2 linked regions of the Oryzias latipes genome follow. The protein of the gene in region 1 purifies or fractionates together with the protein of each later gene. This does not show direct contact. Links are inferred from orthologs where the notes say so. Each region holds a gene or a part of one and is shown on either strand. Other genes may lie near its edges. The genes, in order: carbohydrate-responsive element-binding protein and mlx.

Region 1 (3,246 bases):
TTTGAAAATAGATCACAAGATGATCGGAGTGAGACTTTAACAATTTAGACTGATTGGAGGTAAAGAATAAGTTCTCAGATTGTTAAGCTTTGCATCCTCTGCTTCAGTCAGTCAAAATTGTGCTTTGCTTTGTTGACTCAGTTCTCTTCCTGCAGTGCCTGCCAGCAGCAGCTTCCAGCCACAGGTGTTCCCATCACACGGCAGCGCTTCGACTACATGAGGCAGAAGTTCAGAGAGTACATACGGGCCCAGACTCTGCAAAACTGGAAGTTCTGGATTGTATCCTATGGGTTTGAACATTCATAAGAGCATTTCTCTGTTTCCAACTTATAAAAAAATGACATGTGATTTGGTCTATAATCACATTTTTTTAATTAATCCTCTCTTCCAGCCCTAAGTGTGGATGGAGAGTTGTTATAGTTGTCTGCTGCTTAATCACTTTTCTTCAGAATTTAGAGGAATATCAAATCATCCTATGGCTCTGGGCCTTTAGCCTTGAATATAAATGAACCAATTAAACAAAATTTTATGCAACTTCTGGTAGATGGAAAGAAATGTTCTACTTTTTTCAGGTTTCTAATGAAATGGAAATTTGCATATCTGTGCTTTGAAGAGATCCAATCGTGTTTTTAATCTGAAGTTTTATTCTTAAATAAAAACATTGTTGAGTCTCAAGTTTAACAGCCAGATGTAGTCATATATGATGCAATAATAGCAATATTACTTTGTAAGTTTTGGCCTTTGTTTGCAAAACCTCAAGTTCATTGTGCAAAAAGTTTATAAAAATACCTAAAAGCAGTTATGCTAATTAAGATCTACGTAAAATAAAATTTCTGATTCAGGTTCCACTCCAATCATCTTTTGATCTATTGTAAAAAAAATCATTCCCAGTAGTCTTTTAATTATGATTATGCAATTCTTAGGCAAAAAAAAGCTGTGTTGTTTTCTAAGACATAGTTTGTGCAGAGCAGAAGACGTTTATCAGAAATCCCCCTCTGGGTTGTTTGAGACGTTTGTCTCAAAAGTAAGCCTCCACTGATATCCCATCATCACTTCTTTTGCACTTTCTCAAGCTAACATTAGCCCCTTCTCCAAGCTAACATTAGCTCTGCAACAAAAATGGGAAGCCATATTGGAGCTGTCTAGCCGTACAGTTTTGAGCCAGATGGCAGTTCAGATGAGGAAAACAAAGACTTCCTTGGATCTATGTGTTTATGAAGGGCAGGGAGCTTGTGGCTCACACAGCATATTTTCCAAGTCACAAATACCACCTTTTTATACCTGCATTTTTCGTCTGCTCCCGATCCACAAAAATTTGAATTAAAAAATGCTCAGAAATACAATTTCGAGCATAATTTTGTTTAAGTATGTCCTCCATCTTCAGAACAATGCCACAAGAACATGCCAAAAAACACTATTTTCATTGGAGTGGGTATTTAAAACACACAATTGAGTCTCTAGCAACTCGTGCTTTAATTTATTTTGGGTCATCTATGTTATCAATATGAAACTTCCTATTTTAGTCATGTCTCATCTTGGTGGTTCGTCACATCCTCCCTTAATTCAGTGCTCAGTTCAGCATCATCATTGAGCCCTTGTTTGAGTCTTACAATGGAATGGTGTCCACCGCCAGTGTTGAGGATCTGTGCCGGTCAACTCTGTCCTGGCTGGATCAGCATTGTTCCCTGCCCTCCCTGAGACCCAGTGAGTCTGTTGCAGCTACGACAATGATTAGAAGCCACATTTTTTTAACTGTTATTACTATTTGCTATTGAAATTTTTTATGTTAATGTTATTGGTTTTCCCTTTGTGACCTCAGTGGTTCTGAGTTCACTCCGCCTCCTGTGTACCACCACCGCCATTCTGACAGACCCAAGCCTACTGCCAGAACAGGCCACAGTCGCCGTCAGCCAGGGTGACCCCTCTGTCACCACTGACCACTCTCTACAACCTGCCCCCCCCAGCAGTGGAACACACCCATGCTGAAGCCTTGAAGACTGGGTGGAAGCTCATTCGAATAACCAGGATTTTATGGTCATAATTCTGATAAAATTCATCAACAAAAAGACTGAAGTTTAGTACATTATAATACTTGCTTAATTTATATGAATGGATATTTTTCATTCAAGAAATTCAATTTGCTTTTAGTCAGTGTTTTACATTATACTACAACCCAAGTTATTACAATCTTTTGGACTGATTATTTTTTTTAAATATTTTCCTTTTTAATCTAAGCAATGTGGGACATTTACAAATCTGTCATTTGGGTTTTTGTACTCCTAAGTGTTCATAAAGATGGTTCAGAACTTTTATACCAGCAAAATTAAGGGTGAAATATGTCAAACCTTGTAACTTTCTAAACAATTTATTGTATTTTGGCTTGCATTTTTTTTCTGCGGTAAAGTTTTTTTTTTTTTTTTTTTTCAGCACGCTTAAAATCCAGATTTGTATGAAATGATTAATTCATATAAACTGACGAAACAACGAGGAATCCCTCATGTTTCATTTTTTGTACGTGTGTCACTCTGATGTGGGTCTGCTGAGGGTCACCCTACGCTGTAAGCACTCCTCCTGGCGGACAGAGGGCGCTGTTGTGCTTGTGCGCTGTGGAAGCGCGGCGTTGGGGGTTTTGTTCCCAGAGCTCCTCGGTGCGCTGTCCACTTCAGCACCACGAACCGAGCGGATGCAGCGGGCCAGCTAACGCCGAAGAGAAGAGGGACCGAAAACACGGCTCCTCATCAGCTACGGGGCCCACCCCACTTCTAAATACAGCAAACCTGAAACCAGCGCTCGGAATCGACCATAAACGACGAACTCAGCGAGAGAAAAGACCACCGGAAAGGTAAGAGTTTCCGAAAAAAGCTTAGGCATCAAGTTTGAGCTTAACGGACATCCCCGAAGAAAAACACGCTCCGCGTCCGTTCCTGGTTCATAAATTCTGAATAGACACATTGAAGCGGTGTTTATGTCGCCTTTGTGTGACATACATTAGCCCTAAGGTTTGTCTGGCAGAGACAAAGAGGAACACTTTGGCTTCGTGGAGCGGGTCGGGACCGTGTTGTGGCCGGGCGGGCAGCCTTTGCTCGCCGTGCAGTTTTTGCAGCTCGCTGGTTTTTGCTGCACTGTGCCCACTTGTCTCTTTCTGTGTCCGTCATTTTCGGGTGCAGGACTCATAATACGTCTGCAGCCTTTTGTGTGAACTAAGGGGCGTACTGTTTTGTTAATCCGCCTCCATTTATGTACTGA
Region 2 (4,358 bases), on another chromosome or scaffold:
TTGGTGAAAGTGTGAGTAACAAGAACCACTCACCAGGACCACATTGAAGCGTTCTTCCAGCTCCTCCTCCGGAGGCATGGGAAGTTTTGGGGGAGCCGACTGTTTCTTCTGCAAGACAAGTGCGGGATCACTCATTGCCGAAACCGAGATCCTGGCGTCCCGGCCGTCAGCAGGTTCTTGCTCCAAGCCCCCTGCCGCCGCATTCCCCATCACTAATCTCCAAAAGTAATCCAGGAGGAAAGCTTTACACAAACCCTTTCTCCGAGGAAAATTGGTGTATTCCAGAGCAGAGTGACAAAAAGTTGGTCACTCTAAATGACAAAAACAGGAAGGTCTAAGATGAATCAAGTCCTGTGCCTTTAAGGTGAAGAACATTTATTCTAAATTGCGTCCTGTCTTCAAGACAGGATAAGTGATGAAAAAAACGAGGGTTGTCTTCATGTTTGTCCGCTCAGAAACTTGTCTGTCTACATGAGCCAACAAGAACAAGACAATAGCCTTGTTAGGCCTGCGTGCTCTAAGAAAAGACGTACCCAACTCTCATGAACTATTTCTACACAGGTTGAAAACTTCTCTGAATAAGGCAGAGACGCCTCTGTATGAGAGGAAGGAGAGGGGAGTGTGAAACACAGACAGAAACCACAGAAGCAGAAAAGCAGAAGAGTAACTTCCTGTGTATGAGTGCAGCAGAACCTGAGGTGGAGGACAGGGTGGAAGATAAACTGCATCCGTTATTCGGATCACAAATATAAAAAGGTACATAACAAATAAACAACACATAGCAAAAGAAAAGAACTACATTGCTCATGGTAACCAGAAATAAAGACACAATTACAACATGCAAATGTACAAAATTAAACCAACAATAGAATTGTCTGCAGCTTATTAATCATTTAAAGCTAAATCTATAAACTGGAGCTGTTTATTCCACTCTAGCTTGAGACAGGTTTGTTTTGGAGGTCGCACGGGTCAAACAGCTAAAGTTGAATACTGGTTTTAAAACTGAGAAACAGCGACCTCCTGCGTTTAAAGATTATCACTGCATATAGCCGTGCAACATTTGAGATCAGTATGAAATTTTCGTTATGAATGATACTAACATTCACATTGTTGTGTATATAAATAGTTAAAGGAATAAATAAATATATGTGACAAATACTTGAAGTTTGAACAATAGGTGCCTACATTTTTACCAAAAATTACGTCAGTTACATATTACATCAAAAGGTAAAACATTTAAAAGTATCTTCTTACTAATTAATCACAGAAACAAAAAAACTACTTGTATACAAAACACATACATATATAAAGTATTTATATTTATAGTTAAAGTATTATTTAAATGTTGATGGTTTGAAATATGAACGCATCTCATTCCTAACAAAGCAGTTTAATTTACGAGTGACACGTGAATGCGACACCACTATTAGTTTTTTCAGCCTTCCAAAATGACGGATCCTACATCCCCAGAGGAACACTGGAAAGTAAGTCACTCTTATGAACCAGATTTTAACTTATCACAAACTTTACTTTTTTAAATAATTACTTGGTCTGTGTTGTTGGGGGCGGCAGTTATAACTGACTCGGCTGTCAAAACGCGGAAGTAAAGTGGAAACGGTGCTTTGATAATAGCCTCGCGGCTAACTAGCTTAGTGACGTTAAGCAACATTGAAGTGCTTAGCAAAGCAAGCTAGCTAAGTAAACAAAGCTACCGGAAAACTCGGGTTAATTCAGTTTTTAAAAAGTCTTCATGCACATGAAAAAAATACACTTGGGTCAGCAAAACCGTAGATATCTAAACAAAAGAACGGAGAGAGAGTCGGTTTCATTGTGTGTACAATGACGGTAGGAAAATGAAAATTTGGTTTCTGTCAAGATTTCATAACGAAGAAGTACTAGTAGTCTGCCTTTACATTTAAGCTAATGCATGTAGTTTGTTTTGTCAGGTTTGGTACCAGTGCCACTAAGTAAAATTTTAAGAGATATTTTTGATGTTAAAAAACCTTTGAATCTTGACTTTACAGTAGATTAATTGTATTTTTTTATATGTCAGCTTAACTTTGATGCTGAAAGTACCATTCAAGAGGGAGCCACTAGAAAATCACTAATTGTGAAGTTTACCTGTTCTTTTGTTGTTGTCCTAAATTTTAACTAAATTGCGATCGAACGAGTTGTGTTCTCCCTGCTTGAATGTGTTAAACCAGGACAATCCTCAGTGGGTGTTCTGGTCTTTGTAATCAAAGTATTTAGAACAGCACACTTTCTTTTCTTTTTTTGGTCTATAATGGTAAACCCACCGCTTTTTGTCCATTTCTCCTGCTTCTTTATGATGGCTGCGCAGACAGATGGTGCTTTCAGCGATGGTGGCTTTGACCAAAGTGAGTAGTTTTTGGGTTTTGTTTTTAAATCAAATCCTGCCTGTGAGAAAACAACTTTTTCGGATTGGTTTTCTTTTTGTTTATGTCTTATTTTTGTCATATTTCTAAACATTTATGCTTATATTTGCAGGTTTCTATATTGAAACAGCCAGAAAAGGAAGTGTGGTGTCCAGAGCAAACAGCATCGGGTCAACAAGTGCCTCTTCAGTACCAAATACTGGTAGCTTTAGAGTCTTTTAAATCGACATCCAGTCTGTTTTGATATCAATCAAAAGTTTTACTCTGTCATCATAAATGAAAATAATAGGAAATTACTTTATTGTTTTTCTTTTCAATCCACAATTGTGCTATCTACCCTTTTCTGGAAGACTAAATTCTTTGGTTAAAAGTATTTAATATACTTTTTCTTGGTGAGAAATGTTTATAAAAACATGCTAACATCCCAATAGAACCATGAGGCCACTTTGAGATTTGACTCTTGTATTTATTGAAATGCTTTTTATAATTTGATCGACAGCACAAAAACAGAGTCGGGTCACAATAGTTTAATTTATTCCAAAATAGATGATGAGGACAGCGACTACAGACACGAGACGTCGCTTAAAGACTCGTATAAAGACAGAAGGAGACAAGCGCACACACAAGCTGAGCAAAAGCGCAGAGATGCCATCAAGGTGAGACCGCAGAAGAATCGCGTCACTGTCTTTAAAATTCCAGATATCTGATCTCGTATATATTTCTTTACTTTTATTTCAGAAAGGTTATGATGATCTTCAGTCAATTGTTCCAACCTGTCAACAGCAGTCTGAGTTTGCCGTAGGAGCACAGAAGATCAGCAAAGCTACAATCCTGCAGAAAAGTAAGATTTACTCAAAACCTATTGAAATAGTGGGATGATAACATTTGTTCTTTTACATTTGTAAAAGTATTTATTCTTTTTATATTTGAAACACCTGTAATGCTAAAAGTGAGGTTATTTTCAGACAGTCAGGTAAATGTGAGATGGTAGTTTCCACTAAACACATTTAAAAACTGATAACACGATCTAGTTTCAGTTACCTTTATGGTCACAAAATAGATGCAAAAACCATAAAAAGCAGTATGAAGAAACTAACTGACAATGCTCTGATTCTTTTTTTTTTTTTTAGCTATTGACTACATTCATTTTCTTCATAAAGAAAAGAAGAAGCAAGAGGAGGAAGTCTCTGTCCTGAGGAAAGAAGTTATGGCACTTAAGATAATGAAAACGTGAGAGCAGCTTATAATGACATACCACCTTTTCCTACTTAAGTCTTCCTCATAGTTTGTCAACACTCTGCCTTTATTTGGATTAAAAATATAGTTGTTGTTTTTTTTGCATTAAGAGATTTTGATTTTTTTTAAGTTCTTGCCCCTTTTCTAATGTAAAGTTTTGTTGAAAAAAACATCATTTTTGTATCATAGTTTGTTTTTTCTTCTTCTCCAGGACCTTTTTAGCTTCAATAATCTAATAGAAACTGAAGTAAACTGTTAAATTCATAACTGCTGTCAACCTTTAGTGGTATAAATACTGTCTGTTTTGTTTTTTTGAAGGAACTATGAGCACATAGTAAAGGCTCATCAGAGCAATCCACAACAGGGAGAGGATCAGGTGTCTGACCAGGTCAAGTTTGACATCTTTCAGAGCATCATGGACTCCCTGTTTGTGTCCTTCAGCAACTCCGTCTCAGTCAGCAGCTTCGAAGAACTGTCTGCTTGTGTTTTTAGCTGGATTGAAGAGCACTGCAAACCACAGGTACCAAATATTGCTTTTTTAGCGTTTGTGCTTAGAAAACTACGACAGAGTATTGGGGCCACCATCAAAACAAACAAATAAAGACATTTACGAGCATAAAGTGGTAAAATGAAGAGAAAAGTCATAAAATCACAAGTAAAAGAGTCAAATTGTTATTTAAAAAATAGATATATTAAGTTTACAAGATTGTAGTCATAAATTTATGA

Evidence for each region.
Region 2: the proteins of carbohydrate-responsive element-binding protein (region 1) and mlx purify together in Homo sapiens (affinity purification with western blotting; 3 studies listed by BioGRID and IntAct, counting the BioPlex papers as one, with this or other methods). This does not show direct contact. The link is inferred for Oryzias latipes from reciprocal best matches to the Homo sapiens genes MLXIPL and MLX.

What each region holds. Positions count from the first base shown.
Region 1 is NC_019872.2:21,281,373-21,284,618, forward strand, and holds the end of carbohydrate-responsive element-binding protein, read left to right. Parts: intron 1-155; coding exon 156-279; intron 280-1,574; coding exon 1,575-1,704; intron 1,705-1,819; coding exon 1,820-1,986; 3' UTR 1,987-2,485; downstream 2,486-3,246. UniProt on the Homo sapiens protein: Binds DNA as a heterodimer with MLX/TCFL4 and activates transcription. Binds to the canonical E box sequence 5'-CACGTG-3'. Plays a role in transcriptional activation of glycolytic target genes. Involved in glucose-responsive gene regulation.
Region 2 is NC_019866.2:6,755,630-6,759,987, reverse strand, and holds the start of mlx (max-like protein X), read left to right. Parts: upstream 1-1,345; 5' UTR 1,346-1,448; coding exon 1,449-1,484; intron 1,485-1,534; exon of another isoform or gene 1,535-1,839; coding exon of another isoform or gene 1,840-1,845; intron 1,846-2,341; coding exon 2,342-2,378; intron 2,379-2,508; coding exon 2,509-2,598; intron 2,599-2,942; coding exon 2,943-3,052; intron 3,053-3,134; coding exon 3,135-3,237; intron 3,238-3,526; coding exon 3,527-3,626; intron 3,627-3,950; coding exon 3,951-4,152; intron 4,153-4,358. Other genes in the region: fmnl1 (formin-like protein 1), read right to left, coding at 34-210. UniProt on the Homo sapiens protein: Transcription regulator. Forms a sequence-specific DNA-binding protein complex with MAD1, MAD4, MNT, WBSCR14 and MLXIP which recognizes the core sequence 5'-CACGTG-3'. The TCFL4-MAD1, TCFL4-MAD4, TCFL4-WBSCR14 complexes are transcriptional repressors.